Sus scrofa: one gene and its partners. The main gene of each other region encodes a partner of the protein of the gene in region 5 in a complex. Links are inferred from orthologs where the notes say so. Each region holds a gene or a part of one and is shown on either strand. Other genes may lie near its edges. The genes, in order: KAT2A, KAT14, SGF29, MBIP, DR1, TADA3 and TADA2A.

Region 1 (4,205 bases), on a different chromosome or scaffold from region 5:
TCTTGAACTGGGTAGCTGCGAGCCAGGTTTAAAATCAAAGGAAGGGAGTTCCTGCCGTGGCTCAGTGGTTAATGAACCCGACTAGTACCCATGAGGACACAGGTTCAATCCCTGGCCCCGCTCAGTGGATTAAGGATCCAGTGTTGCCGTGAGCTGTGGTGCAGGTCGCAGACGCGGCTGGGATCTAGCGTTGCTGTGGCCATGGTGTAGGCCAGTAGCTGCAGACCCCTAGCCTGGGAATTTCCATGTGCCTTGGGTTCGGCCCTAAAAAGACAAAAATAAATACATGAGATCAAGTAAGATAGAATAAAATGAAGGGAAGGTGTGGCAGAAGAGTAAATCTCCCAGGAAGGACTAGTGCAGGGTGGAAGTCGGTTTCACAGGTGTAAGTTCTGGTTTCTTAGAGTGCTGTGGTGAGGATTCTGAGCTGCATCCATGCCCCATGGGAAACAATTAGTCACGTCCATCGGGAGGTGGGTGGGGACAGTATCAGCACCTGGGCCATGCACCTGCCATCCCCAGACCAAGACGTGAAAGGGGAAATAGCTAGCGAGTGGCATCTGGGCCGTGGGTAAGTCGTCAGCCAGAGGCCCAGATCCCAGAAGGCTCATGGAGAGAAAAGAGAGACCAACCCAGGAAGTCTTCCTGGAAAAAGCGGGGGCCACAGGGAGGATGCGAACACGGTGCAAGATCCTGATAGGCCAGAACAAACCTTACTTGGGGAAGTGGGTGAGGATGAGGGTCCTCTTCTCAGGCACCAGCTTGTCCTTCTCCACCCGGAACTTCTCCAGCAGCTGTCGCCGGGTGACGGTGAAGATGGAGCGGAGAAGGCTTCGCCCAAAGACGTGAGTGGTCTCGTACCGGGGGAGGCTGTCGCAGCTCTGGGGCACATGGCAGTAACAGAGCCATCTGTGGTGGTGGTGGGGAGTGGGTTGCTGAGTGAGAGCAGACACCTACAAGCCTCCCCTGCGCCGTCCCTGGCTGGACCTACCTGGTATAATTGACCTTGTAGGTAGCCACGTCCTCGGCCTGAGACCTCTGCCGGAATTGGGCGGGCGTCTCAAGCTTCCAGTAGTTAAGGCAGAGCAGGAACATCTTCGAGAGCTCAAACATCGTCTGCCGCTCCCGGGGAGCCAGGTGACTAAACTTGTACTGCACAAAGTTCAGCACACCCTGAGGAGGTGGGGGCGAGCGGGGGACAAAACAGGGGAGGAGGCGTGAGCCACTGGCAGGGACTTCTGATCCAGAAGTAGGGGGGTGCTTCCTGAGGGCAGAGCGCAAGGCTCTCTGGGGCTCCGGCTCTGGAGGGCCTTCTCTGAGAAATCACACCTCCTCCCACCTTCACACCCACCCTGAAGTTAGCGCAAGGCCTCTTCCTTTCTCTGAACCTGTCCCCTGTCCCCAGCTTGGCTCCCCACTCCTCCATTATACCTCCAACCATCTTACCACCTTCCTTGTCCCACCTGCTCGATATTAGGCTTCTCAAAAGGGGGGCTGCCCAGGGATCCCTCCACCACGGGCCGGGTCATCTGCAGGATGCACTTCCGCAGGAGCTGGAGGAAGAGGAAGAGGGAGGAGTAGAAGTCAGCGGAGCACAGAAAGGCAGACCCCCCCCACCCTCCCTCCTCTGCCCACTCACACTCTTCCTTCAAGGAAGCTCACCTTGAAGAGGTAGAAATAGACCTGCTTGGTGTCCGTGTCCTCCTCCTTATGAACAGACATGAACAGATTCTCCACATCTACCACCATCCCCAGCAGCCGGTTAATCTCATCCTCTGACACATTCTCCAGGTGGGACACGTGGTCAGCTGTAAGGACAAGTGGTGGTTGTGGAAAACTGATAGAAGGGATCGACAGGGCTTCCTGCTCCTCTTCACCACCAGCCAAGACGCATCCTCAGTCCCTCCGACCAGGGTGACCGGCAATGAGACTGCGGGCTCCTGTGTCAGCCCTGGGTGGTCTCTCTTCTGGACTGAGAGATCTCCTTTCTCCTCCCAACCCAATGCCTCCTCAGGAAGCATCTCGGATCTCTCAAAGATGAAGTTGTGTGGCACTTAAGTCATCCTGTCCAAGCAGGACCCAAGACCTCCACCCCCACCCCAGTTCCAAGGGTACTGCCTTACCCAAGGGGTGCTCACAGCTACGGCACAGCTCGCTCAGGTTGGCAGCTGGCTGCTGCAGGTCCATGCGGGGTGCAGTGGGGGGCTTGGGGTTTTTCCAGCCATTGCACTTGCAGGTTTCATTGGCCTGGAGACAGAAGGATCCGTCAATAACCCTGTAACCCCGGGACGAGAAGCGCTCCCCAATCAGAGCTTTGCCCCCTTGCCCACCCGAGCCCTGGGATGCCCCAAGCCCCGCCCCCTCTCGCCCCAGGCCCCGCCCCCACCTTGCAAGCCGAGAAGACCCCTAGCTTCTCAAGCTTCTTGGCGCGCGGCAGCCCCCGGACTTGCGCTTTCCTCTGGCTGGCGCGCTGCTGCTGGCTCAGGCCAGGGCGAGCCGGATCACCCCCGCTCCCGGTACCCCCACTTCCTACCCCGGGCCCCCCAGTCCCTGTGCTCCCGGCTGGGGCTGCAGCTGGGGCGGGGGCTGGTGCCGGAGTGGGAGCCGGAGTCGGGGCCGAAGCAGGGCTGAGAGCAGGAGTCGGAGTTGGGGCGGGGGCTGGGGACTGAAGGGGACGCGGCTGAGCGGCTGGGGCCGGGGTCGAGGCCTGGGAAGGTTCCGCCATGGCCTCCCCCGCTGCGGAGCGCGGCGCGGCGCGGCGCTCCCAGCCCTAGGGCCGCATGGGCAACCGGCGTTCGGTGCGCAGGCGTCGCTACCTTGGAGCATGATGGGAGTTGTAGTCTTTTCACAGCCGCTCTTCGCCTCCAGCTTCCAGACTTTTCTGTCCTCTTTCTTAAATCCGGGACAGCCAAGTGAGGCCCTACCTAGCACCCCAGATGGACTCCTCTAAACTTGTAATCTCTACGGAAGGCTTCCAAGATAGTCTAGATTGCTGTCCTGGTGGGAACAGGGAGAAGCATCCCACAAAGCAGGCTTCTCCGGGGTCTCGCCTCCCAAGCCCGGGAGAGAAGGTGTAGACCTGGAGGGCCTAGAGTCGCTTCGGCTTCTTGCCTCGCTCCCTCCCGTCCCCACACTGACCCTGTCCCGCGTACCTCCGGACGCGGACCTGCAGCTGGGGTGGCGATTAAATAGCAACAATACTATTTCTTGACCTGTGGAGGGGTTACACGAGTGTGTGTTCTCTTTGTGCATTTTTCTGTTTTACTTCAACAAAAAAAGGCTTATCATAAAAGCACTGAGGGCCAGAATAATGGCTGTGGCCCCTCAAAAAACTGCAGAGGTGGGGATGAGGTAGAGGCAGAGGAGGGCCTATGGGTGTGGCTCTCCTCTCACACCGTGGGCACTGGTGCCAGAGCCCAGCTCTGCGCCTGCCACCAGTAGGCCCAGGGTCAGATGAATGAAGGAAACCAGGAAGGTGCGTCCACCTTCCAAACCCTATGTGTCGCAGGATTGTGCATGGTCAGAGATCGGAAGGACATTCCTAGAATGGATGACCCTGTAGTCACACTCTGATGCTCTGTTCAGAGGGCAGGCCCCGCTTGCCCCCAGGCCGGATTCTCGCAAGGGCATGAGCCGGGCGGCTCAATCTCATCTCTGCTCGTGCTGCTGACGGCTCCAGGGTGGGGCTCACAGGCCGCCGGCCTCTTTTGGCCTATCCGTTTGGGTCACAGCCCCGGCAGGCCAGGGCCCTCTGACGGAGTTGGGGAAGGGCCCGAGCAAGGGGCAGGATCCGGGATAAAAGCAGCCGCGGAGGCGTCAGAGCGGTTGCCAACCTGACTCGTGGAGCTATGTGCATAGCTGATCCCAAATTCCGCGGAAGCGAAACTTGCCGGAAGCCAGGGGAGCCCCCTCAACAGAGCAGGCGCCGCGGGAGCGGGAGTGCAGCCGTTCCGGCCCGAGGCCCCCGCTCCCGGGGGCCCCCACGCCCTAGCCGAGCGCTACATTCGGAGCCTCGCGCTCTTCACCAGCAGTTGCTCTCTCGGATGCAGCGGGTCAGTAGCGGTCTCCCCAACGGGAGCCAGTCAGCTTCCCGATGTGCCAGCGTTGCCTTCACTGAACAGAACCAGGTGGCCACCCTGCCAGTGCAGCAGCTCACGGACGATGTGGCAGCTATGCGGGACAACGTCCATGCGGAGGATGGCTTC
Region 2 (3,500 bases), on a different chromosome or scaffold from region 5:
TTAAATTAATTTGCCCTACTTTATATGGCAGCCAGCTTAACAGCTACAATACTTTTAAATTCACTCTATTAACATTAGTCAGACCAAACCCCTCGATACTGGCCAGGAATTCTACCTGGTGCTGGCGAGCCTTAACAAACACAGTGGGGAAAGGAAACAGCATCCTAATTCAACCCTCTGAATGCTCTGACCCAGGACAGAGCCCAGGAAAGATAGGGCCAACCCTGCCAGGGCAGCTGGGGACTGGGGCAGTGACGCAGGCTGCCTCCACGTGTCTGCCAGGGAGGGCAGTGCTGGGCGAGCAGGACCACATGACTTGACTGCAGAGCAAGTGTGCTCAGCAGGGGCAACTGTGAACCAAGAACTTAAACTTTGTCTTTTATGTTTCCTTCAAAGGATCATCCTTTCTGCACAGGAGTACAATTAAAACAAGCCAAGGATGAGACTGGACATCAGGCTTTGGTCTTTATTCACTCCAATGGGGGCTCAAAACCCACAAACATTATTCCCCATGACACACTCCATGTACCTGATGTAAGGTTTCAGGATTCGAGAAGTATAAGGGCTGACAATACTCTGGTCCACAGCCATATCTTCTGATCCCACCAAACGGTACAAAAACTTACTGGTCTGGTGCCGAAATCCCTTCCTGGATGGCAAGGCAGTCTATGAGAAACACATACTAGTTACACAAAAATAAAATTACTTAAAGGACTGGTTTAATTCTCACAGATAAGCAGTACTTGTGACATTTTTATGTATCAGAAAGTAGGTCTTTTTGCATTAATTGGAAAGCTCAAGTTTTAATACAAAGTTCAAAGGTAATTTGCATAAAATTATAACTGAAAATTAATCCCAGTTATACCAGTTTATTTTTATTTTTTTATTTTTTTGTCTTTTTGCTATTTCTTTGGGCCGCTCCTGCGGCATATGGAGGTTTCCAGGCTAGGGGTCTAATCGGAGCTGTAGCCACTGGCCTACGCCAGAGCCACGTCTGCAACCTACACCACAGCTCACGGCAACGTCGGATCGTTAACCCACTGAGCAAGGGCAGGGACCGAACCCGAAACCTCATGGTTCCTAGTCGGATTCGTTAACCACTGCGCCACGACGGGAACTCCCCAGTTATACCAGTTTAAAAGCAAAATAACTTTTGGAGTTCCCGTTGTGGCTCAGCAGAAACAAGTCTGACTAGGAACCATGAGGTTGCAGGTTCGATCCCTGGCCTTGCTCAATGGGTTAAGGATCCAGGGTTGCCGTGAACTGTGGTGAAGGTTGCAGAGGTGGCTCAGATCCCATGTTGCTGTGACTGTGGTGTAGGCTGGCAGCTGTAGCTCCGATTAGACCCCTAGCCTGGGAACTTCCATGCCATGAGTGCGGCCCTAAAAAGCAAAAAAATAATAATAATTTTTTAAATGTTAGTTATGTAAACAACTTTAAAAGACATTTAAACAGGTGACATACACAAATGACCACTGGATTTACTGCTTCTCCAGGATTCATTTTGTCTACACTGTACCTTTAATCCACTCATCAAATATCAACCGGGCTGAGAATCGAATAGGTAACACACACGGGGCTGATGTCTCACAATGGCCTCTGTTACCTCAAGAGGCATGGGGCCAGTTACTGCTGTGTCTGTACTGTATACGGATTTATTCAAATCTGTCTCTACTGAGTAAACCTGACGGAGTGGAACTGATGTAGATCTTCATCCCTAAAACACACCATGACAGCTGAGAGGCCCAACCAGAGGGTCCGTGAGGACCTGGCTCCTGTTCCTCAGGAGGGCATCCCAAAAGAACAGCTGTAGACATCTGCTCTCCAGACAGTGCTGCTCCAGGGCCCTCGGTCATGTCATAACAGAACACGGACAATTAGGGTTTTACAGCAAAGCGCTCGGATGGAAGATTAAAAGGCACATTTATGAAGTGCTTTGCCAAGGGTTGGATGAAGTTTAGAAACCTGAGTTGTTTTTGTAGAATCAGCTTGCTCTTAACCTAGAAAATAACCCTGTTGGAAGAGCAAGAATTCCTTCTTTAAGAATGTGCTCTCGTTACTTTCCCAAACTGGACACCAAAACTTTCAAAGGCCACTCATGAACTTCTTCCAGGACTTTATAATAAGTTTCGCAGTGAAATTCCAAGCTGCAGCATAGTTTCCAAATACGGCCCCATGCTTCCTTCCGTGCCTGCAGGTACACATGTCTCCTCCTATCAAAAGGTGGAATCATGGTCCCCTCTCTGGAATCTGGTGGGCCTGGGCCAGGCTTGACCAATCAGAATGTGGCCCAGGTAACATTCTGGGACTTCTCGGCCCAGGCTGTAAGGGAGCCAGCTTTCACTTTTGCTCCTCTTGAGTCCAGAGGCCACGTTATCCAGACCAGACCACTAAAGAACCAGAGGTCACATGGAGCTAGGCTCTGGAACAGGAGAGGCCCATCCTGGCCATTCCACCCAGACCCAGGTCCCAGCTGAGTGGAGACACAAGCATGGCCCTTCCCTTAGCACATCAGGCAGAAGAAACACCCAGCTGAGCCCAATCAACCCATAGGCTCAGAAGAATCAAACACTTACTGTTTAAAGCCACTAAGTTTTGGGGTGATCTGTGATGCAGCCACAGATTACCCAAATGCCAGCCACTGAGCCATGAAATAGTGTCAGGTAAACATGTCAGTGAGTTTGTGAAGCCCTGTGGCTGTTACACCATCCCAGGCCAGGTCCTTCCATTTCCCGCTGCTTCCACGCTGGGCTACCTACCCTCGACTTCCACCTGGACCACCCCTCCTCTCCCAACCGGGCTCCCTGCTGCCATGTTTCCCACCCCCCACAAAGCCGGGTTCTCCTTTTAAAAACTCACAGGGAGTTCCTATTATGGCTCAGTGGAAACAAACCTGACTACTATCCATGAGGATGCAGGTTCAATCACTGACCTCGCCTAGAGGGTTAAGGATCTGGTGTTGCGGTGAGCTGTGATATAGACTACAGATGAGGCTCAGCTCTGGCATTGCTGTGGCTGTGACATACATAGGCTGGCAGCTATAGCTCCAATTTGACCCCTAGCCTGGGAACTTCCATATGCCACTGGTTTGGCCCTAAAGAGCAAAAAAAAACCAAAAAACAAAAAACAAACAAACTCATAAACTCTGCTGAAACTCCTATGTGGCTTCCTGCTATGTATTCTGAATACAACTCAAACCCTTTTCCCATACCTGCAGGATCGGCTCATCTCCCACCACCACCCGTTTCCTTTGCCATCAGAAGTCCCAGCCAACTCTCCCACCTCAGGGCCTCCTGCCCTGAACCCTCTCAGGCTGGCTCCACCTTGTGGATCAGAAGAAGGTTTGAACGTCACCTCCATAGAAAGGCACCAACCACCCCTCTGTTCCCCACGGCGCTCACCTTGTTAGCTGACTAGTACTATCACCTCCTTGCTCAGGATGTCACCCCCTAAGTGCAGGGACCTCCTCTGTCTTAACTCACTGCACATCCCCAGCTAGG
Region 3 (3,947 bases), on a different chromosome or scaffold from region 5:
CCAGAAAGTTAATCTCTAAAACTATGGATGCTAATAGACCTACCCACTGAGAACAGGGTGCCTTGTGGTGGGGGAGGTATTCATAAAAACGGACACTGAGGTGTACAAAACACTCTCAAGGCACTGCTTCAGATCCTGAATGGCACCTCTCAAACAGCCTTCTCTACTGACCTTACCCTACGATACCCATATTGAAATACTCAGGGCCCCTGCCTCAAACAAGCAGACCTGTATGTTTCAGTTATGTCTGCCCTTCGATCCTTCTCCATTTTTGCCTCTGGATCTCTCAAATTTACTCATTTTTTCAGGGCCCAAATCAAATGGCAGCAAAATTCACACTTTTTCAGCACTACCTGCCAAGCTTTTCCACACCAGGGCACACAGAGAACACGACAGTATTTGTATGGCATACTACGGTACAAGGACAAAGCTGCTCCTAGCCAGAAACAACTGGCAGGGAGATGTGGCTGTCTCAGGCCCCTCTAATCTGCCCTGATGCCATGGGCAATCAGAACTTCCAGAAACTTCTAAAGCACCGGACACAAACATCTGTTCCTGCATTTGTCACACATGCACCCAGAGACTACCATATTGTTTGTCTCTCCTGCCACACCAAGATCTCTGAAAAGAGAGAGATGCACTTTTATTCATCTTTATATTCCCAGCAATTAGCACAGGGCCTGGCACCTACTAAGTCCTCAAAAGCAAGTGCAGAACTGAACTGAATCCTGGAAATTTTTTTTTTTTTAACACCATACTTGTAACCTGCAGAGGGATCCAACCTGAGCCACGGCAATGACAGTACCAGTTCCTTAAATACTAGGCCACCAGGGTACTCCCTGGAGGCCTCCTAAAACGGTCTTTGAACTTAGAAACACTGCAACAGTTCTGAAGCTGGACTGTTCAGTATCTTCTCCCTGATCCTGGAAAACAAATCAGTTCCTGTTAACATGCTCTGAAGAGAGACTGTCTGAGTTCCCAGTGGGTTAAGAATCGGACTACAGGGAGCTCCCTTTGTGGCTCAGTGGCAACACAAGACTAGTATCCATGAGCACTCAGGTTTGATCCCTAGCCTTGCTCAATGGGTTAAGGATCTGGCATTGCCATGGGCTGTGGCATAGGCTGGCACCTGAAATTGCAATTTGATCCCTAGTCCAGGAACTTTCATATGACACACCTGCTGCCCTAAAAAGCAAATAAATAAACAATAATCTGACTGCAGCAGCTCAGGTTGCTGCCAAGGTGCTGGTTCTATCTCCAGCCCAGAGCCATGAGTTAAAAGATCCTGTTTAGCTGGCAGTTGCAGCTCAGATTTGATCCCTGGCCTGGGAACTTAGGAATGCTGTGGGTGTGGCCACATAAACAAGTATATAAACAGATAAACATGTACTGACTGATGGAGAAAGAGGACAGAGGGGAAGCAAAAGACATCTAGTATAACTCAAGGTGTTTGAAAAATTGGAAAACTGAAGAAGGTGAATGGTAAAACTCAAAATTTCAGGTAGAGCAATGAGTTGAGGACAAGAATTTGAGAGTTAAACACAAGAGATGGTATTTAGGAGCTCCCGCCGTAGCTCAGTGGTTAACAAAACCGACTAGGAACCATGAAATTGCCGGTTCAGTCCCTGCCCTTGCTCAGTGGGTGAAGGATCCGGCGTTGCCGTGAGCTGTGGTGTAGGTCGAAGACGCGGCTCGGATCCCACGTTTGCTGTGGCTCTGGCGTAGACCGGTGGCTACAGCTCTGATTAGACCGCTAGCCTGGGAACCTCCATATGCCACGGGAGCGGCCCAAGAAATGGCAAAAAGACAAAAAAAAAAAAAAAAGAGAGAGTATTTAAAGCCTAGGAAACAGCACAGAAAAGAGATCAAAGATGAGGCTGTGGGGCAGTACAACCAACCACTGAGGGTAAGTTAGAGCAAGAATCAGCAGAGGAGAAACCAGAAAGAGCTGAAGCTGAAGACGAGAATGTTCCGCATAGCAAATGAAGCACGCATTTCCATTTCAGTGGAGGGGTGAGAGCCAAGGCCTTACTGGAGTGTGTTTGAAGGAGAAAAGGGGCTAATGAGTAGAGAATGAAGTTTTGGCTGCAGTGAAATAGAAAGCACCTGGAGGAATATGAAGAATGAGGTTGTTAAACTAAGCACACCTTCAGCAAATAATGAAAGCTGCCAAAGTGCGGGCCCCATCCTCTGCCCTTGTTCTCTCGCACCTGGGGTGCGTACCCACCCCTCCCAGCCACGGAGCCAAGCTCCACGTGCAGCGGCTTCCCACCCTCTTCCAGCCGGCGAGCGCAGGCGCAGTCAGTTACCAGAGAAGGTCGGCGCCAGCCCTCCCTCCCAGCGCCCCGCCTCTCCCGGTCCAGGGCGCGTGCGCACTGCCTCTCAAGAGCTGCCTCAGCGACGCCCGAGAACAGGGACCCCCCGGCCCTCCGCTCCCGCCATTCTCCGAGCGGGGGTGCGGGGAGCCAAGCAGTGCCTCAGACCACGACGTATACCCACCTACAGAACCACGGGTGGAATAAGCAAGTCGCGCTGGAAACTGCGACGGCGGGAGCAGGCGCGTCTTCCCTCGAATGCCTTTCAGAGTCTGCGGATAACAACGCGCTCACGTTCGAAGATTCGCGGCGGCTCAAGAACCACGCACGCTTTTTCCCTTTTATGAGCAGCGCGAGACCCTCTCTACGCGTGCGCTGTCTTCCTCTCTACGCGTGCGCTCTCTTCCCGTGCCGCGCTGCTCCTTGGGAAATGTAGTTTTTACTTGGACACAGAGTTTCCGCCTCTTCAGCTGAACCTTGTTTTAACCAACCAGAGCGTGTTTTCAGTATCCACTCCTATTACCAAAACCTCGATGAAACAATAAAAAAATTTTTAAACGAGCAGATTGTTGATTGAAGGGGGAGCAGTGGGCATATGAGAACTCTGTACTTGTTCCTTCAATTTTGCTGGAAAGCTAAAACTGCTTCAAAAATTAAAGTTCATTTAAAAAATGTTAAAAATAAATAGAAATAAGCAGATCTGTAAACCCAGATATCATTCTTTTAGAGAGTATTGTCAGGAACATATTGTCATTGTGAGCAAATGTTTAACCACAACGGTTTACATCCTAGTATCTTGTAATCTCTTACATAACCCATACCAAATTTTACGTTTGTTTGGTACACTTGCCTGCTCAGGGAGGTTAGGATCCACTGTTTTATTCACCTATATACACCCATAGTGGCTGGTATATAATAAGCGTTCTATTTTTTAAAATTCATATTAGAGTCTTAGACTTCAACACAAACCATTTCAGCCCAAAACTTAATGCAACATTTTTTACCATCAAACTTACTCTTCTTTCTGTGGTCTCTCAGTAAGTTGCATGACCATCTACCCAGTCTCAGTTCTATATCCTGCGTTTTATGGGGTTTACAGAAGCAAGGAGTTCGCATTTTCGTGTTTATTGAAGTCTCAGGAGTTCCCGTAGTGGCGCAGCTGAAATTAATCTGACTAGCATCTGTGAAGACACAGGTTTGATCCCTGGCCTTGCTCAGTGGGTTAAGGGTCAGGCATTGCCATGAGCTGTGGTGTAGCGGCTCTGATCCTGTGTTGCTGTGGCTGTGGTGTAGGTCAGCAGCTGTAGCTCCAATTGGACCCCTAGCCTGGGAACATCCATGTGCCGCGGGAGAAGCCATAAAATAAAATTTTTTAAAAAAATGAAGTCTCAGAAGCTATTTCTCCTGAATGGCAAATGTCAATTTTATTTTCTCCTCAAGGGAGATTTGGGGCTCGTTTTGGGGCGGGGGTGTCTGTGCCATGGCATGTGGAAGTTTCCCAGCCAGGGATCCAACCTGCACCACAGCTGTAACCTGAGGCATAGCAGTGACAACACTGGATCCTTAACCCACTGAACAAGAGGGAACTCCTGGGGCTCAATTTTTTTGTTTGTTTGAATTTATCTTTAATTT
Region 4 (3,500 bases), on a different chromosome or scaffold from region 5:
TCTTTGAAACCACCAAATGTGACTACATCATCTCAGTATCCCTCCTATCTAAAACAGTGCTTGGCCTATAGTAGGCATTCAATGGATACTTTTCAAAATTACCATCTTGATTCTATTAGATTTAATAAAGCAGTCAATCCTGTTAAACAGTTGTATTTTAAATTCATCTAGTTTTGGGAGAGGGGATTAATTTTAAAGCTCATTCTAACTATCCTCAAAGATGTACTCATTCTCTTCTACCTCCATTCACAAATACACCAGCCAGACTGGACTCTAGAAATTCCCTGAACCATCATACTTTGTGCCTCTGTGCTTTTTGCAGATATTCAGAAGATAGAATCAACAAAATCTGGTGACTAAATGGGGAGGGAGAATCAGGCTCTGCAGTCAGGTAAGATAGAGGTTTGATTTCTAGTTGCCATTTACTCCTTAGGCATGTTGCTGAGCTCTCTGAACTGCAATTTCTTTATCTGACAATGATAACAGCAGCAAGATCTCACAGTGGTACTGGTTAAATATCAAGTGAGTTGACACATGTATAGTATTTTCAGAGTGACTGGCACTTATTCAATAAATGTCAGTCACTTCCCTTATGGCATTTATTTATTTATATGCTTATCCCCACTGGGAGACCTTAAAGGATGAGGATTACACTATTAATACTTTGTACATAGCACAGTGGGTGCTAAGAATGAGAGATGGTCATGGTTAAGTTATGAAACTGATGACAGGAAAAAGACTATATTAGTTTTCGGCCATGACTTTAATAAACTGAGAGTGTCAGGATCTATTTGGAATTTGTTCCCATTATACTACCACTCTCAAATTGTTGAGAAGTGTTAAGAGAAGGAAGAACATACACACATGAAACTGTTAACTACTTGAGAGCAGGGACTATGTTTCCTTCCTTTCTGTACTAACCAGTATGATGTTTTGTATATGACAGGGGCTCAACGAAAATCTGTTACTAAATGAATCAGAATTTCTTTAACCATCTGCAAAGGTACATTATAGGACACTGCCCAGCACTCTGCTTACCTGTCTGCAACCGCAAGTGAGCCTCAATATTTTGCAGTCGTTCTTCCACAGCCTGATTACCACAATCCCGGAGCATGCTGTTAGGTTTATGACCTGATCCTTGAATTCCTTCAGGTCTAGTCTGTGGTCCATATGTATTCACAACTCTAGAAACTAAGTTAAGAAATTTTTGAGCCTATTAAACTTACATTTCAAAAATCAGAAATTCTAACGGTACGTTGTGTTCTTTTTATAACCACAAACCAAGTATGAAGAAAGGCAAGATTTTTTGCTTTGTTTTAAAATAAATAAAATTTAGATAGGAAAGTGATTTTTATTCCATTTTGCTTATAATCTAGAATAAGCTTTGTCAGTGATGAAGATATTACACAGTAAATACTTACCTTTTACATGACTTTTAAATCCAGGGTAAGGAGTAAAAACGGCATCAGTTCTCGCACAACTATTTTCTAGGAGAATTTAGATGAATGTAAAGTTAAAATATATTCTTAAAAATGTGTGAGATTTTGATAACCCTCCAATAATGCATATTAACATATTACTCATAATCAAAGAATATAATTTTAAATAATAGTAATTAAATTACTATCAATTTAGTTATCTTTACCTTCTAAAATTTGTAATATATAATCTCATCTAATTTCCAGATTTATATACAGAAAAATCCTCAATATTTGGTGGCATAATTCAATATAATTTTTAATCAATACCAATCTCCCTAAAAACCACCTGGACATTTGGAGAAAACAATTTATATACTACAGAGAGTTAAAATAAGCCAGAGACATTATTCATGTTATTTCAACATAGAAATAAACAAAACTCATTATCGTTACTGAAATGTCTTTTTCAAAAATAGAGCATTTTTGTTATTACTTACTGATCAAACTAATGAACATCTAATAAAATGGATTACATATTCAACACATCTTCATTTCAGAATACTATGAAAAAACATACCTTTACACTATCTAGATTTCCAATGCCCATTTTAAAAATCCCTAATCACAAAAGCTATTTATCACTTTTCAGCCTGCCCCTTTCAAAAAATGCAATTTTAAGAAAGATAATATGTGAAAATTTGTTCCAAATTTTTCCTAGGTTGAAAAGCATAGCTTCTTTCATATTGGGTATCGACATATAAATCACAAACCAAGAGACAAAGCTGGAGTGATGTTAACATAATATATAAACATTTCATATATAAAATAATCTTCAAAATGATGTTAAGTAAAAGCATGCATTGTAGCAAATTTTCTGAAAAAATTCTCCTTGATTATTTTATACTAAAAAATGGATGGTAAAAAGAGATACTGAAAGAAAATTTTTTCTTTATAGAATTTGATTTTCTAAAAAATTGTTTACATATACACCAACTGAGAAGTATTAAAAGGAGCACACTAGCACATAACATCTCAATTTTTTCAGTCTAAGTTTCCTAAGACAGTTCTGCTGACACATCAAATTGTGTGAATAAAATTCCAAATTCACTTATCTTTTATATATAGATACTAGACAGAGTCATTTTCTTTTTTTTTTTTTTGAGATACCACAAAATATGTTTAAAGGGCCATCACCTCTCCATTCTCTTCCTGCCATTTCATGGGGCTAAGGGTTAAAAAAAGAAGCTATCATCCATTCCAGAGCTATATTCCAAATATATAGATTAACTGACCCATTAGAGAGAAATTCAGCATGGTGTGAAGATAGTGAATGTATGAGTGCTAGTCACTCTCCACAGCAATTCTTCCTAGCACTGTTTGGAGCCAGCAAGGGATTGAATGGGCCAAGGAATCCTGCTGAGCATTTCAATTCTTGTCAATTTCTATCCCCTGGTGGTTTATAATAATAGAGTTAGCAGGGAGAACAGAGGAATAACATTAGTGACACATGCGCTTGCTTCTTCAACAAACCCTTTCTCATGGGCTGCTTGCAGTTGGATTGCAGTACCTGGGATTTTGCCACTGCTGCACCTGTTCTGAAAAGCTAACAGTAAAATATACCAAATCTAGTGATATGCATGTATAATGTTAACAGTAGAAAAAGCTAAATTTAGGACCCATCCTGAGCCTGTATTATTCCATTATGAGGAGAATCAGTCTACGAACGTGATACACTGTCAATTCTAGGTTCATCTGACAATTCTGTGTTCATAATAATTAGCCAAGAAATATTAGAGGCAACAAGAAAATTGTTCATTCCAATTAGAACTCTTCTCCATAATTTTTCTAAGAACTACTTGTTCTGATTATTACTATGATGCCTGAATATGATCTATGCTACCAGTGCTTTGCAATTTTGCATTCTGCAGCATACCTGCGGACCTGTAAATATAGTATAGCATCACGTTGAGAGGAAAGGAAAATCTGATGAAAAACAGCAAACGTATGTGCTATGAGAGAAAGGAAAAAGCCATAAGACACTATAGTCCTCATGACAGACTGGTTTTATCGTGACATAAA
Region 5 (4,288 bases):
TGTGTGTGCGCGCGCGCGCGCGTGCGTGAGTGCACAGATATATTTATAGAGATGGAAGAGAGGGATAGAGGAAGAGAGAAGTATAGGATACAGAACTGTGATAGAAACTTAAATAGTCACGGTAGCTATTGCCTTTACATTTAGTCCTTTTCCCCTAACAGTTAGAGGTAGAGTACTAGAGAACTTTCAAACTACAGAAATAATTTTTAGATGGAAAATGTTTATTTTATTTACTTATTTGCTTTTTAAGGTCCCACCTGCGGCATATGGAGATTCCCAGGCTAGGGGTCAGTTGGAGTATAGCTGCCGGTCTGCACCACAGCCACAGCAATGCCAGATCCGAGCCACATCTGCGACCTACACCACAGCTCACAGCAACGCCAGATCCTTAACCCACTGAGCGAGGCCAGGGATCAAACCCACAACCTCATGGTTCCTAGTCAGATTCATTTCTACTGCACCACGATGGGAACTCCTAGATGGAAAATATTTATGTCAAAATTGTAGTTGTTCCTGTTGCGGCTCAGTGGAAACAAATCTGGCTAGTACCCATGAGGACGTGGGTTTGATCCTTGGCCTCGCTCATTGGGTTAAGGATCTGGTGTTGCCATGAGCTATGGTGTAGGCCAGCAGCTACAGCTTGGATTCAACTCCTAGCCTGGGAGTGTCCATATGCTGTGGATGTGGCCCTAAAAAGGAAAAAAAAAAAAAAGAATTGTAAATTAAGACAGAAGAATCAAGAGAAACACGTGAAAAAGGAATTAAAGGGAGAATATTGTTTTTCTGTAAACTTTTTAAAGTTCTTCAGTTGAACCATTATGTAGCATAAAAAGGAGCTTTTATGGAAACTTGAAAACTCTCCTTAAGAGAGTTGACAGAGGAGTTCCCATTGTGGCTCAGTGATAGCAAATCCAACTAATGTCCACGAGGATGCGGGTTCAATCCCTGGCCCTGCTCACTGGGTTAAGGATGAGGCTTCCAATTTGACCCCTGGCTTGGCAACTTACATATGCTGCACAAGTGTGGCCCTAAAAGAAAAAAAAAGTTGACAGGGAGGGAGTTCTCCTCTGGCGCAGTGGGTAAGGATCTGGTGTGGTCACTGCAGTGGCTTCATTTGCTGGTGCGGAGTGGGTTTAATCCCTGACCCAGGAACTTCCGTATGCCGCAGATGCAGCCAGATACCCACCCCCCCAAAAAAAAGAGTTGTCAGAGAAGCAATCTCTAATTATATTTTCTTAGAGAATTTATGTTGTCCTAATGTACAACTGTGTAGTGTTTGGGAGGTATACACATTTGATAATGACTAAGTTTATGGTTGGCTTAATACACAAAGTGTGCGTATTGTAGGTTTTTTTTAACTTTTGTGTGTGTGATGTTTTTGGTGTTTAGGCTAGACAGCAACAAGCAGAATTGGCCCAACAGGAATGGCTTCAAATGCAGCAAGCTGCCCAGCAAGCACAGATTGCTGCTGCCTCAGCAAGTGCATCCAACCAGGCAGGATCTTCTCAGGATGAAGAAGATGATGACGATATCTGAAATTCACCAGCTGAGTTTCTATTTCCTCTATAAATGTTTTTCCTTGCACAAGAAAACAGTGAACGAAATGCTTATCTGTAATTTTGTATGCTTCTTGGTGGACTTGCCATTGGTATTCTAGGGATGTCTGCCGTTAAGTTTCATCTGTTGTGTGCTGTTGATGTAAAAACTGTCTCTTTGAACTATTGAAAATTTAAGATTCAGTATAATATCAATTTTGAATTTTTAATAGTGTTTATGAAATTTTAGATAGCGGTGAGTCCTTTATTTGGTCAATAAAACAGTGTTACAGAAAACTTCAAGTTTATAAAAATACAGTGAAATTTATACAGAAATTCTAAATCTGCGTTTGCATTTCCTCTGCCCTTTTAGCTACACTGAAAATCTGTAGTTGTTCATGACTGAGGGTGGAGGTGCTTTGTGATGCAGTAGACATCGGGTCAGGTTGGTGACAAAAGAGTTCGGTTCTGTAGTATCGGGATTTTTGGTCTTTAAAAGGAGTATATATGCAGGCAATAAACACTTCTGCTCGGGTAAATATACTTGTTTAAAAAAAATCTCAAAACAAGGCATTCAAAAGCTGGGAAGGAGTATGTTTAATAGTAGTTGTAAAATTTGGTAGGTTATGTTTTTGACTTTGATTTTGTTTTATGTAGAAGTAAAAACTACAGTTTTACTATGGAATAATTCATCCTGAGCTACACTATTACATTTCATAGACTGCCCTATTTTGAGGACTGTCATGATTCTTAGTATTTCACTTCAATAATTATTAATAGTATTACTTGCTTAGCCCATCCATGTTTATTGGAACTCGTGAAACAGTTGCTTAGGTTCCGTTGGTTTAACTGAAGTTCATAAATATTCAGACATTTGCTGGGGGAAAGAAACGAAAGTTAATGAGCATGCTTGCTATAAAAGAGGGATTTTTTTTTTGTAATTAAACTTGTAGTTATAGTTTACTCGTTTGTTTTTAACATTACTTTTACGATTTCTTGACTAGATGACCTAGTGTGTCCAATGCTTCCTTTTGAAATGGCATCATTGTCTCCATCATAATTGAGTGATCCTTTAAAAATGATTGGTTTTGTTTTGTGTAAGGAAGTGTGTCCTAATTGATCAGCCCTAATTTTGAACTGCTTGTTAAAAGGGAAAAGCTTTAATTTGGTTCCAATAAATAAAGTATGGTAGTGATTTTTATAGAAATCCAGGGTGTTGAAGAAATGGCCTATTATTTGCATTTTGGAAACAGAATGGAAAAACCACTTAAGATAGTATGAAGTAATCAAAATTTCTATGTAACATTTGCCAAACATTTAAATTTCTATATTCACCAAGCCTAAAGATAGATTGAAGCTTCCAGGATTTCAATTTTAATTGAAGAGCTAATAAAATAAATTGAAGAGTTTACATGTATTAGATTTCTTAATCATATTTTACAGTTTTAGAAAAAGTGAAATATTGTCATATATGTATTAAATACACTTCTTCCATGCCACAGATAGGTGAATCTTGCTGAATGTTTTGAGTTGAAGTTGATATTGTATCCATGAAGTGCTTTTGGACAAGATAGAAGGGATTTTTTTTTTTTTAAAGTTTAAGTACCAAAGGTAGTCTAGTCTAAGAAATAAGTTAATAAGTGTTGACTTTTCTAATTTGTACTGTAACATCCTTATACTTTCTGTTTTAAGTATATCTGTTTCTTAAATAACTTAGGCAGTTTTCCATACTTTTTTTTTCCTGATGCAGAGTTCAGGTTAATTAATATTTTACTGCATCTGATAATGTATTATATGTTTGAATTCTAGTGACTTTTCATTTTGACATCCTTGTGATTTCATATGCTGTATTCTTCAAGCAATAAAATCTGATGTGTTTTATAAATTGTTTTTATATTTAATGATCTATACAGATTAATGGCATGAAATTTCTTTTATTACCATTTTTACTAGTTTCAAGAATTTTAGGTCCAAGAGACATTTTGATCATTTGGTATGTAGTATTTGACCTTCTCCTTTGTTTACCGTTACTTCAGAAAATGTGGTTTTACTTGTATTTTTGTAATTTACAGTCCTAGGATGCAGGCATAACAAAGCTAATTAAGCAGTGTTTTACTTTTAGCTTAATTTTTAGTAGTTAAAAGTCACTATTATATTCTTTATGTTGTTGAATTTTTAAACTCTTTTGGAGAGAGAAACAAAATCTTTAGGGTTCTTGAGAAATAAAGTTATTGTTTAGTAAGTATTTTCCCCACTTCCTTGAATTTATGTCTTTTTTTCCAGCAGACTATCAGATTAATAAGTGTTGAAAAGCCATCGATTTTTTAAAATTACGCCATACATTTAGAAGAGTACACAAATAAAGGTTTCAGAAATTAAACATACTTATTTTGCCTGCCCTCAGATTAAGAAACAGTGTTATGAATATCCCAGAAGCCCTCCTTTTTGCCCTGTCTTAATGCTGTTTTCTTCCTCCCCAGAAATAATTACTGTTCTGACTTCTAAAATCAATTTTGCTATTCTTTTATTTTATGTAAATGCTATCATACGTAATGTACTCTTTTTTGTTTGTCATTGTGTTTGTGATTATGTTGACTTCCTGATGCCACAGTTATAAAATACCACAAACTTGGTTTTTTAAAACAACACAAATGTATTTTCTTGCAGTCCCGAAGATCAGAAGTCCAAAATCCGTTTCATTAGCCCAAAGTCAAGGTTGGGTCCTGAATCTGGAAATTGTGAGTGAAGAGTCT
Region 6 (4,280 bases), on a different chromosome or scaffold from region 5:
TTCGATCCCTGGACTTGCTCAGTGGGTTAGGGATCTGGTATTGCCGTGACATGTGGTGTAGGTTGCAAGTGTGGCTTGGATCTCGCGTTGCTGTAGTGTAGGCTGGTAGCTGCAGCTCTGATTCAACCCCTGGCCTGGGAACTTCCATATGCCATAGGCGTAGTCCTAACAAAACAAAACCCAACCAACCAACCAAACAACAACAAAAAAAACCCAAAACAAAAAACAAAAACAGAGTACTCTGTCTCTTCAACAAGATTATAAGCTGTTAGAGACACAGAGGTTCATTTTAAACATCTCTGTTCCCCCGCATCTGGCATAGCACCTGGCATACAGGGCTCAGAGAATGCTTATGCCATAAATAGAAATCATCAGAAGTATACCAATAAATAACATTTGACATGCTTACTTAGTATCAGGTGTTGTGCTGAGCCTTTGTGAAAAGTCTTCAAATCCTCACAAAAGCTCTGAGGGAGGTCCTATTATCCAGCCCACTTTGCAGATGGAGAACTGATCCTCAGAACTAGGAGGTAACTTGTGCAAAGTCACATAGCTGGCAAACAGCAACGCTGGCAAGTGCTTGGGCCAGGATGCAAATCCAGGCCTCCTCATTCCAGTTACCTCAGTACTCCTAACCACAACAGCACATCAGTTGGTACTTGTGTGCCCTCCTCCTCCCTTCATTCATTCTTTTTAGGGCCACACCTGTGGCATATAGAGGTTCCCAGGCTAGAGGTTGAATCAGAGCTGCAGCTGCTGGCTTATGACACAACTACGGCAATGCCAGAACCAGACTACGTTTGTGACCTACATTACAGCCCATGGCAATGTCAGATCCTTCACCCACTGAGCGAGGCCAGGGATTGAACCCAAATCTTCATGGATACTACATGGGTTCATTACCACTGAGCCTCAATGGTAACTCCCTCCTCCTCTCTTTAGTTGGCAAGCTCCCTCAAGGCCCAAATTGTCCTCACTACCTCTCTAATGATGAGCACAGGATCCAGAACATTGTGGGGAGTGGGGGTCAATAGATGCTTAGTGGATTAGAAATCCTGAAATTTATGAGGATCATGCACATTCCTACTTTGATTTTTTTTTTTTAGGGCCACACCTGTAGCATATGGAGGTTCCCATGCTAGGGGTCAAATCGGAGCTGTAGCCTCTGGCCTATGCCACAGCCATGCCAGATCTGAGCCTCGTCTGCAACCTACACCATAGCTCATGGCAACACCGGATCTTTAACCCACTGAGCGAGGTCAGGGATTGAACCTGCGTCCTCACAGATGCTAGTCAGCTTCGTTTCCACTTAGCCACGACAGAACTCCTCCTGCATACTTTACACGTCACATAAGCCCAGTTTGGGTTTCTCTTCCCCCCACTATGCTCCCATACCTCAGGCCTCAGCAGAGAGGGCTAGCTACCTCAGTGACCCATGCCACAACCTGTCACAGTCCATCCCTGGTGTCCCTCTGTGGGGTATCACCTGGGTTTCAGCCTCGAGCACCCGCAGGCGTCGGCTGGCAGAGGAAAGCAAGGTCTCAAGCTCCAGCTGCAGAGTGTCCAGCTCCTCAATACCGATGCCATCATCCTCAGAGCGGGCCAACACTGCTGTGTAGCGGGGACAGACTTTCAGGTGGTCCACAGACTTGAAGTCATGGAACTGCAAGGGGCAGTCCTTCAGCTCACTCATGGCCCAGGATAGGGGACCCTGTGGAGCTGGAGAGAACGGACCACTGATGGGGGGACAAGTGGCACAAGAAAAGACCAAGAGCTCCTTCTATTCAGACAGCCTCAAGAAGAAAGCCAGGCTTCAGTATCCTACTAAGGCTGAAGTCACAGTTCCTATTTGTAAAGCACCTACTGTGCACCAAGCTAGATGCAGACATTTTACTGGCTTCTCATTAAATTCCTCACATAACCCCGTGACTCATGGTGATCTCCATTTTACGGATGAGAAAACTGAGACTGTTAGAGTGGGTACATGTTCATGCTTATCAACACGCAATCTGAATTCAGGTAGTTTTAAGTCTGTGCCTCTAACCACAGTTATACTGTGCCTGTCCTTCTGATGCTCTTCCCTTCAGCTCCACTCTTCCAGAGTTCTGCTAAACTCCAGAATTCCAAGTATTCCATACTTACGTTAACGTTCTTTGTGCCTCCCAGCCTCTCCTAGTTTCACCCTCCCCACCTTTTCCCTATTTGCCCCAGATAGTAAGGAATGTGAACTGCTAAACTAGATACATCAGGATTCAAGCTCTGGCTTGACCAGCCTCTATTTATATAGCCCTGAACATGTTAATTATCTCTCGAGTCTCAGTTTTTCTATCCGTAAAATGGGACAAAAGACACCTGAGCTTGTTTCCCCATAAGAAGTTTGAATCTATAAAACGGGGATAGTAATAGTACCTACCTCCCTGGGATGATCTGAGGATTAAAAGATGATGCCCGTCAAGAGCCCAGTTCAGTGCCTGGCACAGAAAAAGTGGGACTGGTTAATGACTGGCCCCACCCATGGATAGCCCCAGTGTCCCGCCTTCTGGGTCCCAGACCTTTACCGCGGACACCCTACCGCGGCCCCCGCCCCCTCTACCTCCTCCTAGCCGCCTCCTACTGCCCCCGGGCCGCGGGTGGGGGCGGGGAGTTCCGGTCGGTGAGAGCTACCGCCCCGGAACTGACTAGGGGCTGGCCCCCAGCAGTGCACGCGGGGGCGGAAAGACGCGAGGACCAGCCCCTGGGTCTTTCGAGGGTGGGAGTTTGCCGGCAGCGAGTGAGCCCGCTGCTAGTGGGGTGGAGAGAATAAGCCTCGGGCGTACCCTCGGGAACAGCCCGGCGCCTGGGGGCGGGGCTCGGCGGCCGGGTTCTCCGCTTGGCAGTTAGTCCCGCTGAGCCCCGAGGGCTGCAGGTAGGAGGGGCCCGGAGAAAGGATGGGGGCACAGAACCGGAAGGATCGAAGAGCTCCCCCGGCTCGCCTTGTCCTAATATGGTGCCCAACCTGAGGCTGGGCTGCACCACTGCATGGCTGTGAGGGAAGATGGCAGCAAAGACGACAAGAAGGCCAAAGTCACAAGCGAGAGCCTCACCGATGACGGGAGAAGCTTGAGTAGTGATTTCAAACTTCAGGAATCTAAAACTACCACGGCAGTCCTAGCGGGAAAACTTCCGAAGTGCCAAGTGTTTTTAGCTTCTCCCTCCCCCGCTCGGGACATAGATGGTACAGTCCGGACGTCCGGGCGGAGACTGCGGCTGCGCTTCTCGCGAAAGGGCAGGCGTCGCGGGGCTGGCCACTTCCGTACTTCCGCTTTCCGGCCCAGCCAGCGCCCGCGATGGTGAGAGAGAGCCGGGACCCGGGCCAGGGACCCCCACTGTTCTGTCCTCAGGCTCTGGGTTTGGGGGAGATGCGGCTTTGCAGCGGAGAGGCGCTGAGCCGTGGGGTGCTGGGGGTGCGGGGGCACCATGAGGTTGGGAGGAGGGAGGGGCGGGGGCCGAAGTGAGAAAGGAGCGAGCGGGGGACGCCCTCCTAAGAAGCAGGCCTTTCGGCTTCATAGTCTGGGTTTTGAAGCAGGTGGGAGATACTGAATCAGAGAGGAAGCTGGGAGTGGGTGCTCCTAGGTATGGTAGCACGTCGGAGGCACGTAGTAGGCCCCGTAGCCCTTAGTAGGGCCGCTGAGGCTTGTAATAGGGCCACCTCCCCAACCAGTGCAGACCTTCACTAAATATGCACCCCCCTCTTGCCCTCTTGACCCCATGGTTCTCTGAGGGAGAGCGTTCTCTGTGGAACTTCCTTATCCCAGTCTTCATGTTGCCCCAGCTGTGCTTCTACCTCCCAGACCGCTTCCTGGTCGGAACTCAACCGTATCAGTCTTACTATAGAATGTAAGCTCTGATACTGCTGATTCCTTCCTCCTTGGAAATCCTCTCATTTGATAACTGGCTGTTCATAGCAATTTAGACTCACTAGCTTCCTCTTTACACTCTCCCTGGTGGTGCTACCTATTTAACATACAGGTCTTCATGACCGTCTGCATTCTGGTAACTCCTAAATCTGCTGGTCTAGCCCTCTTTCATGGTTCACCTGGAAGTGTTGAAGACACCTTGAAATTAGACTTCCAGGCCGTAACTCCTCTTTCCCTAAACTTGCTTGTCCTCTTGTGTTTGTCTTCTGGCTTTGTGTTTTCATAACCTCAGTTAGAAACCTGGGATATTCTAATTGAAGCCATGCCTTTTGCTTTTCTTAAACATCAGATTTGTTGAGGTATTACACCAGAATGCGTCATCGT
Region 7 (3,500 bases), on a different chromosome or scaffold from region 5:
GCTGCTCTGCTATGGAACAGGCTTCCCTGTCACATCCACAGAGGGGATGAGTGCCTTACCCTAAAGCCTCAGAAAGGAAGCCCACAGTCATTCCGTGCCTCACCCAAGTGACCAGAGGCTGGGTTAGATCAGGGATCCAGGCTGCCTACTCTGCGTTGCCTTGGGATCAAACAGAGTATGAAGGGAAGCAAGGGATCTCCCAGCTTAATGCAGGGACCAAGGAAAGCTAACACCCGCCCAGGAAGTACAAAGAGTGAGGGTGACTGGTTCAAAAAACACAAATGCCAAAGGTGCACGGTCATGTTTGCTCATTTTTCTTTTGTCTTTTTAGGGCCTTGTCTGTGGCACATGGAGGTTCCTAGGCTAGGGGCCGAATCGGAGCTGTAGCTGCTGGCGTACACCACAGCCACAGCAACACAGGATCTGAGCCGCATCTGCGACCTACACCACAGCTCACGGCAATGCCGGATCCTCAACCCACTGAGCAAGGTCAGGGATTGAACTTGCGTCCTCATGGATGCTAGTCAGATTTGTTTCCATTGAGCCATGACAGAAACATCCCTTCTTCATTCATTTTAATTAGCCAATATTAAATTATCTGTATTTCTGTATTTAGACTGAGGGGAGGGGTGGATGTAAGAAACATATAAAATAAAACTTGGATTTAACTGTTTTGGTTATTCCCTAAAAGACTCTCTTTTAATTACTTGAAACAAAAGGGTAAAAAAAAAAAAAAAAAAAAAAAATCCCTAAAGTGGCCTTTTCTGAGCCCTGTCTAGATCCTGAATCTGAGAGATTTTGAATGGGATCACAAGGTCTGTTGTTCCAACCTTTCAAAAAATGGTAAAACTACAAGTGGGTCAACTTCTGACAAGGGCAGTCTGTCCTCAGTGGAGTGGTCGGCATGTTCAGACTGGGGGACATGGCTAATCTACTATTTGGGGCAGGGGTGAACGATAACCATGAAAACGGGCAGAGAAATAGCACAATCTTGGACCAGAGCTCTACAACTAACACCCCCTTAAACTACCATCCACTGATTACCAGGCACCAAGGATTATCAGACAGCATTTGGCTTAATCCTGCTCTGTACACTAACCTCAAAATAGGACATACCCCAAGAGGTAAAGATAAGAAATACCTTAAGTTTCCAACTTATAAAGAAAATCTTTCTTTTCTGGCAAGTAGCCTGCCCCTTTGCTCACATAAGACAGAGCCTTTAATTGATCCCCTGTGAGACAAATGTCAAAATCTGTGGCAGACAGAACCACAGTAACTAACTGCCCACGAACAATGATAAAATAGAGAAAACACCTGTCTGGAGTTCTTTCTTTCCCTGTCTTTGCAGTCCAAACCTGAGGAAAGGCCCTGTTTGACAATGAAGATTCTAAAATCTTGCTGACGTTCATAAACCAGGATACCACACTTAATCCCCACTCCTCTGCCCAAGCAGCTGGCAGCTCCCACAAAAGCAGAAGGGATTGCTGGGTCACCCTAATTCCCTAGAATGAAAACTTCACAATCAAGGCTTGTTCCAGCCTGAAACATAATTACCTGAATTCGAAGCCATTGGAACAGAAGGACTCAGGCCAGAATCACTACAATGAAGAAGAGGAATTTAAACTTACGTCACATCAAAGAAAGCAATTTCCAAAAGCCCACATGAGACTGAGTGACATTTATTGGGTCAGTTACTCCGAAGAGAAGTAATGAGACAGACGGCTATGCTCTCCAGGATACCTCAACTGAACTACCCAGGAAAGGAAATCGCTCGGATTTGCCAAGAAGACGACCTCTTGGCCTGGCCCATCACGGAGGCCACTCATGGGGAAGGAACAGAAACATGATTCTCCGATGAAAATCATACCAATAAATATAGAGGGAGAAAGAAGGCATGGGGAGAGAATTTACTAATTAAAAAATTAGTTCCCTTGCGGCCCAGCAAGTTAAGGATCCGGCATTGCCGCACCTGCGGCCCAGGCCGCAAATGCACTGCGGGCGGGTTGGATCCCTGGCCTGGGCGTTTCCACATGTCATGGATGGGGAGGGGAGAATCAAAGCAGCAAAGTGGGATTCTAGGAGGCCAGTTATGTTTCTCAAAACTGTCAGTACCATGCTGTTTCTGAGAACTGCTAATATGTTCTGAATTCTGCTAGCTACCCAATTAGGACTGCTCTGCTCTGTCAATTTACAAGAAGAAGGAGGAAATGCTGAAGATCATTCCAACAACAAAGAAATGTCTGAAAATGCAGGGAAGGCCAAAACATCCAAGGGGCTGCTCCTTCACCCGGCGTTAAGCCCTCACATGTCAGCCTGCCGGCGGAGCCACTGCTGGCAGGCACTGCTGTCCTGGATGTACTGGAGGACTTCGGAGAGCATGGTACGTTTGAGGCGCTCCTCTTCTCGGGTCTTCTTGAGGTGATCATAGGTTCTGGCACCTGGAGGTATGAAAAAAACCACCACCACGGTGACCACAATGACAACGGAGCAGAACTAACTGAAGGGCTTCCTAACTGATCAGCAAAGTCTGTCTTTTTAAAATTTCCTTTGCAAAACTGCTTCCACGATTGTTTTCCTAAGAGCAAAGTGATTTCCCCTAGTTTGAAATCCCTTTTCTGACAAGAAATGAAAATATCTTCCTTTTCTACCTTTAAGGGATTTGGGAGGGGGAGGAAAAAAACCCAAACAGAAAAGCACAAAGAGTTGCTTATATCCCTCAAAAAGTAACTTTTAATATTGTCATCTTTACTTCCTGTTCTGTTTTTTCTATCCATGTATTTTGGCGAGTCACACAAGTGCTATATATGTACCCTTCCTTAAAAACCACTCAGAATTACAAATAAAAGCAAACCCTCATTGACCAGTACTATCCTTCCCCCTCTTTCCCAGAGGCAACCAGTATCAGGTAACCAAAACGTGGTATCAGAGTCTTTATATGCATCTTGCTCAACAGCTGCATAGTGTTTTTCATACATTACAAAGGAACACAGGATCCAAAGGACCACACCAGTGGGTTTTCAACCACGTCCCACAGAGCCCCAGGATCCCGTGAACGTCTCTCAGGGATTACTGGGAAGACCACGAGCACCTCCCCATCCTGGTGGTCCTGGGTTCCACACAGGACCTGAACCATCAGACGTCAACCAAAGCAGTCCCATTTTTATCTTATTTACGGATGGGACCTCCACATAAAATTTCATTTTATAAACAGCTTCCATCATTAAAAATAAAGAGCCACTATAGGAGGCCAAACTTACACCCATAGGACCACTTCTTGTGGGCAGCGGGTGACAACTGTCAATTTACAAGAAGAAGGAGGAAATGCTGAAGATCATTCCAACAACAACAAAACAACAGAAACTGCCATTTATGGAGGCTTTACTGTGTGCCAGGTACTGTGCTATGTTTCCATGCATTATCTCTAATCTTCCTATTAACTGCAAGAGACTTGGAAACTGAACGAACAGAATTACAGATGTGGCGAACAGAGTTATAGCTCT

What was found.
Region 1: DR1 (region 5) and KAT2A share a complex: the UniProt entries of both Homo sapiens proteins name them as parts of the ADA2A-containing complex. The link is inferred for Sus scrofa from reciprocal best matches to the Homo sapiens genes DR1 and KAT2A.
Region 2: DR1 (region 5) and KAT14 share a complex: the UniProt entries of both Homo sapiens proteins name them as parts of the ADA2A-containing complex. The link is inferred for Sus scrofa from reciprocal best matches to the Homo sapiens genes DR1 and KAT14.
Region 3: DR1 (region 5) and SGF29 share a complex: the UniProt entries of both Homo sapiens proteins name them as parts of the ADA2A-containing complex. The link is inferred for Sus scrofa from reciprocal best matches to the Homo sapiens genes DR1 and SGF29.
Region 4: DR1 (region 5) and MBIP share a complex: the UniProt entries of both Homo sapiens proteins name them as parts of the ADA2A-containing complex. The link is inferred for Sus scrofa from reciprocal best matches to the Homo sapiens genes DR1 and MBIP.
Region 6: DR1 (region 5) and TADA3 share a complex: the UniProt entries of both Homo sapiens proteins name them as parts of the ADA2A-containing complex. The link is inferred for Sus scrofa from reciprocal best matches to the Homo sapiens genes DR1 and TADA3.
Region 7: DR1 (region 5) and TADA2A share a complex: the UniProt entries of both Homo sapiens proteins name them as parts of the ADA2A-containing complex. The link is inferred for Sus scrofa from reciprocal best matches to the Homo sapiens genes DR1 and TADA2A.

Annotation. Positions count from the first base shown.
Region 1 is NC_010454.4:20,637,088-20,641,292, reverse strand, and holds the start of KAT2A (histone acetyltransferase KAT2A), read right to left. Parts: upstream 2,801-4,205; 5' UTR 2,726-2,800; coding exon 2,387-2,725; intron 2,248-2,386; coding exon 2,124-2,247; intron 1,809-2,123; coding exon 1,663-1,808; intron 1,554-1,662; coding exon 1,464-1,553; intron 1,174-1,463; coding exon 992-1,173; intron 910-991; coding exon 718-909; intron 1-717. Other genes in the region: HSPB9 (heat shock protein beta-9), read left to right, coding at 3,849-4,205. UniProt on the Homo sapiens protein: Protein lysine acyltransferase that can act as a acetyltransferase, glutaryltransferase, succinyltransferase or malonyltransferase, depending on the context.
Region 2 is NC_010459.5:26,512,457-26,515,956, reverse strand, and holds part of KAT14 (cysteine-rich protein 2-binding protein), read right to left. Parts: intron 667-3,500; coding exon 530-666; intron 1-529. UniProt on the Homo sapiens protein: Component of the ATAC complex, a complex with histone acetyltransferase activity on histones H3 and H4. May function as a scaffold for the ATAC complex to promote ATAC complex stability. Has also weak histone acetyltransferase activity toward histone H4.
Region 3 is NC_010445.4:18,385,131-18,389,077, forward strand, and holds the start of SGF29 (SAGA-associated factor 29), read right to left. Parts: upstream 2,801-3,947; 5' UTR 2,500-2,800; intron 1-2,499. UniProt on the Homo sapiens protein: Chromatin reader component of some histone acetyltransferase (HAT) SAGA-type complexes like the TFTC-HAT, ATAC or STAGA complexes.
Region 4 is NC_010449.5:63,665,723-63,669,222, reverse strand, and holds part of MBIP (MAP3K12-binding inhibitory protein 1), read right to left. Parts: intron 1,488-3,500; coding exon 1,422-1,487; intron 1,192-1,421; coding exon 1,039-1,191; intron 1,031-1,038; exon of another isoform or gene 947-1,030; intron 392-946; exon of another isoform or gene 323-391; intron 1-322. UniProt on the Homo sapiens protein: Inhibits the MAP3K12 activity to induce the activation of the JNK/SAPK pathway. Component of the ATAC complex, a complex with histone acetyltransferase activity on histones H3 and H4.
Region 5 is NC_010446.5:123,814,588-123,818,875, reverse strand, and holds the end of DR1 (protein Dr1), read left to right. Parts: intron 1-1,389; coding exon 1,390-1,536; 3' UTR 1,537-3,788; downstream 3,789-4,288. UniProt on the Homo sapiens protein: The association of the DR1/DRAP1 heterodimer with TBP results in a functional repression of both activated and basal transcription of class II genes.
Region 6 is NC_010455.5:66,077,173-66,081,452, forward strand, and holds the start of TADA3 (transcriptional adapter 3), read right to left. Parts: upstream 2,801-4,280; 5' UTR 2,594-2,800; intron 2,472-2,593; 5' UTR 2,414-2,471; intron 1,720-2,413; 5' UTR 1,694-1,719; coding exon 1,487-1,693; intron 1-1,486. Other genes in the region: ARPC4 (actin-related protein 2/3 complex subunit 4), read left to right, coding at 3,019-3,329. UniProt on the Homo sapiens protein: Functions as a component of the PCAF complex. The PCAF complex is capable of efficiently acetylating histones in a nucleosomal context. The PCAF complex could be considered as the human version of the yeast SAGA complex.
Region 7 is NC_010454.4:38,920,156-38,923,655, reverse strand, and holds part of TADA2A (transcriptional adapter 2-alpha), read right to left. Parts: intron 2,439-3,500; coding exon 2,306-2,438; intron 1,599-2,305; coding exon 1,555-1,598; intron 1-1,554. UniProt on the Homo sapiens protein: Component of the ATAC complex, a complex with histone acetyltransferase activity on histones H3 and H4. Required for the function of some acidic activation domains, which activate transcription from a distant site. Binds double-stranded DNA.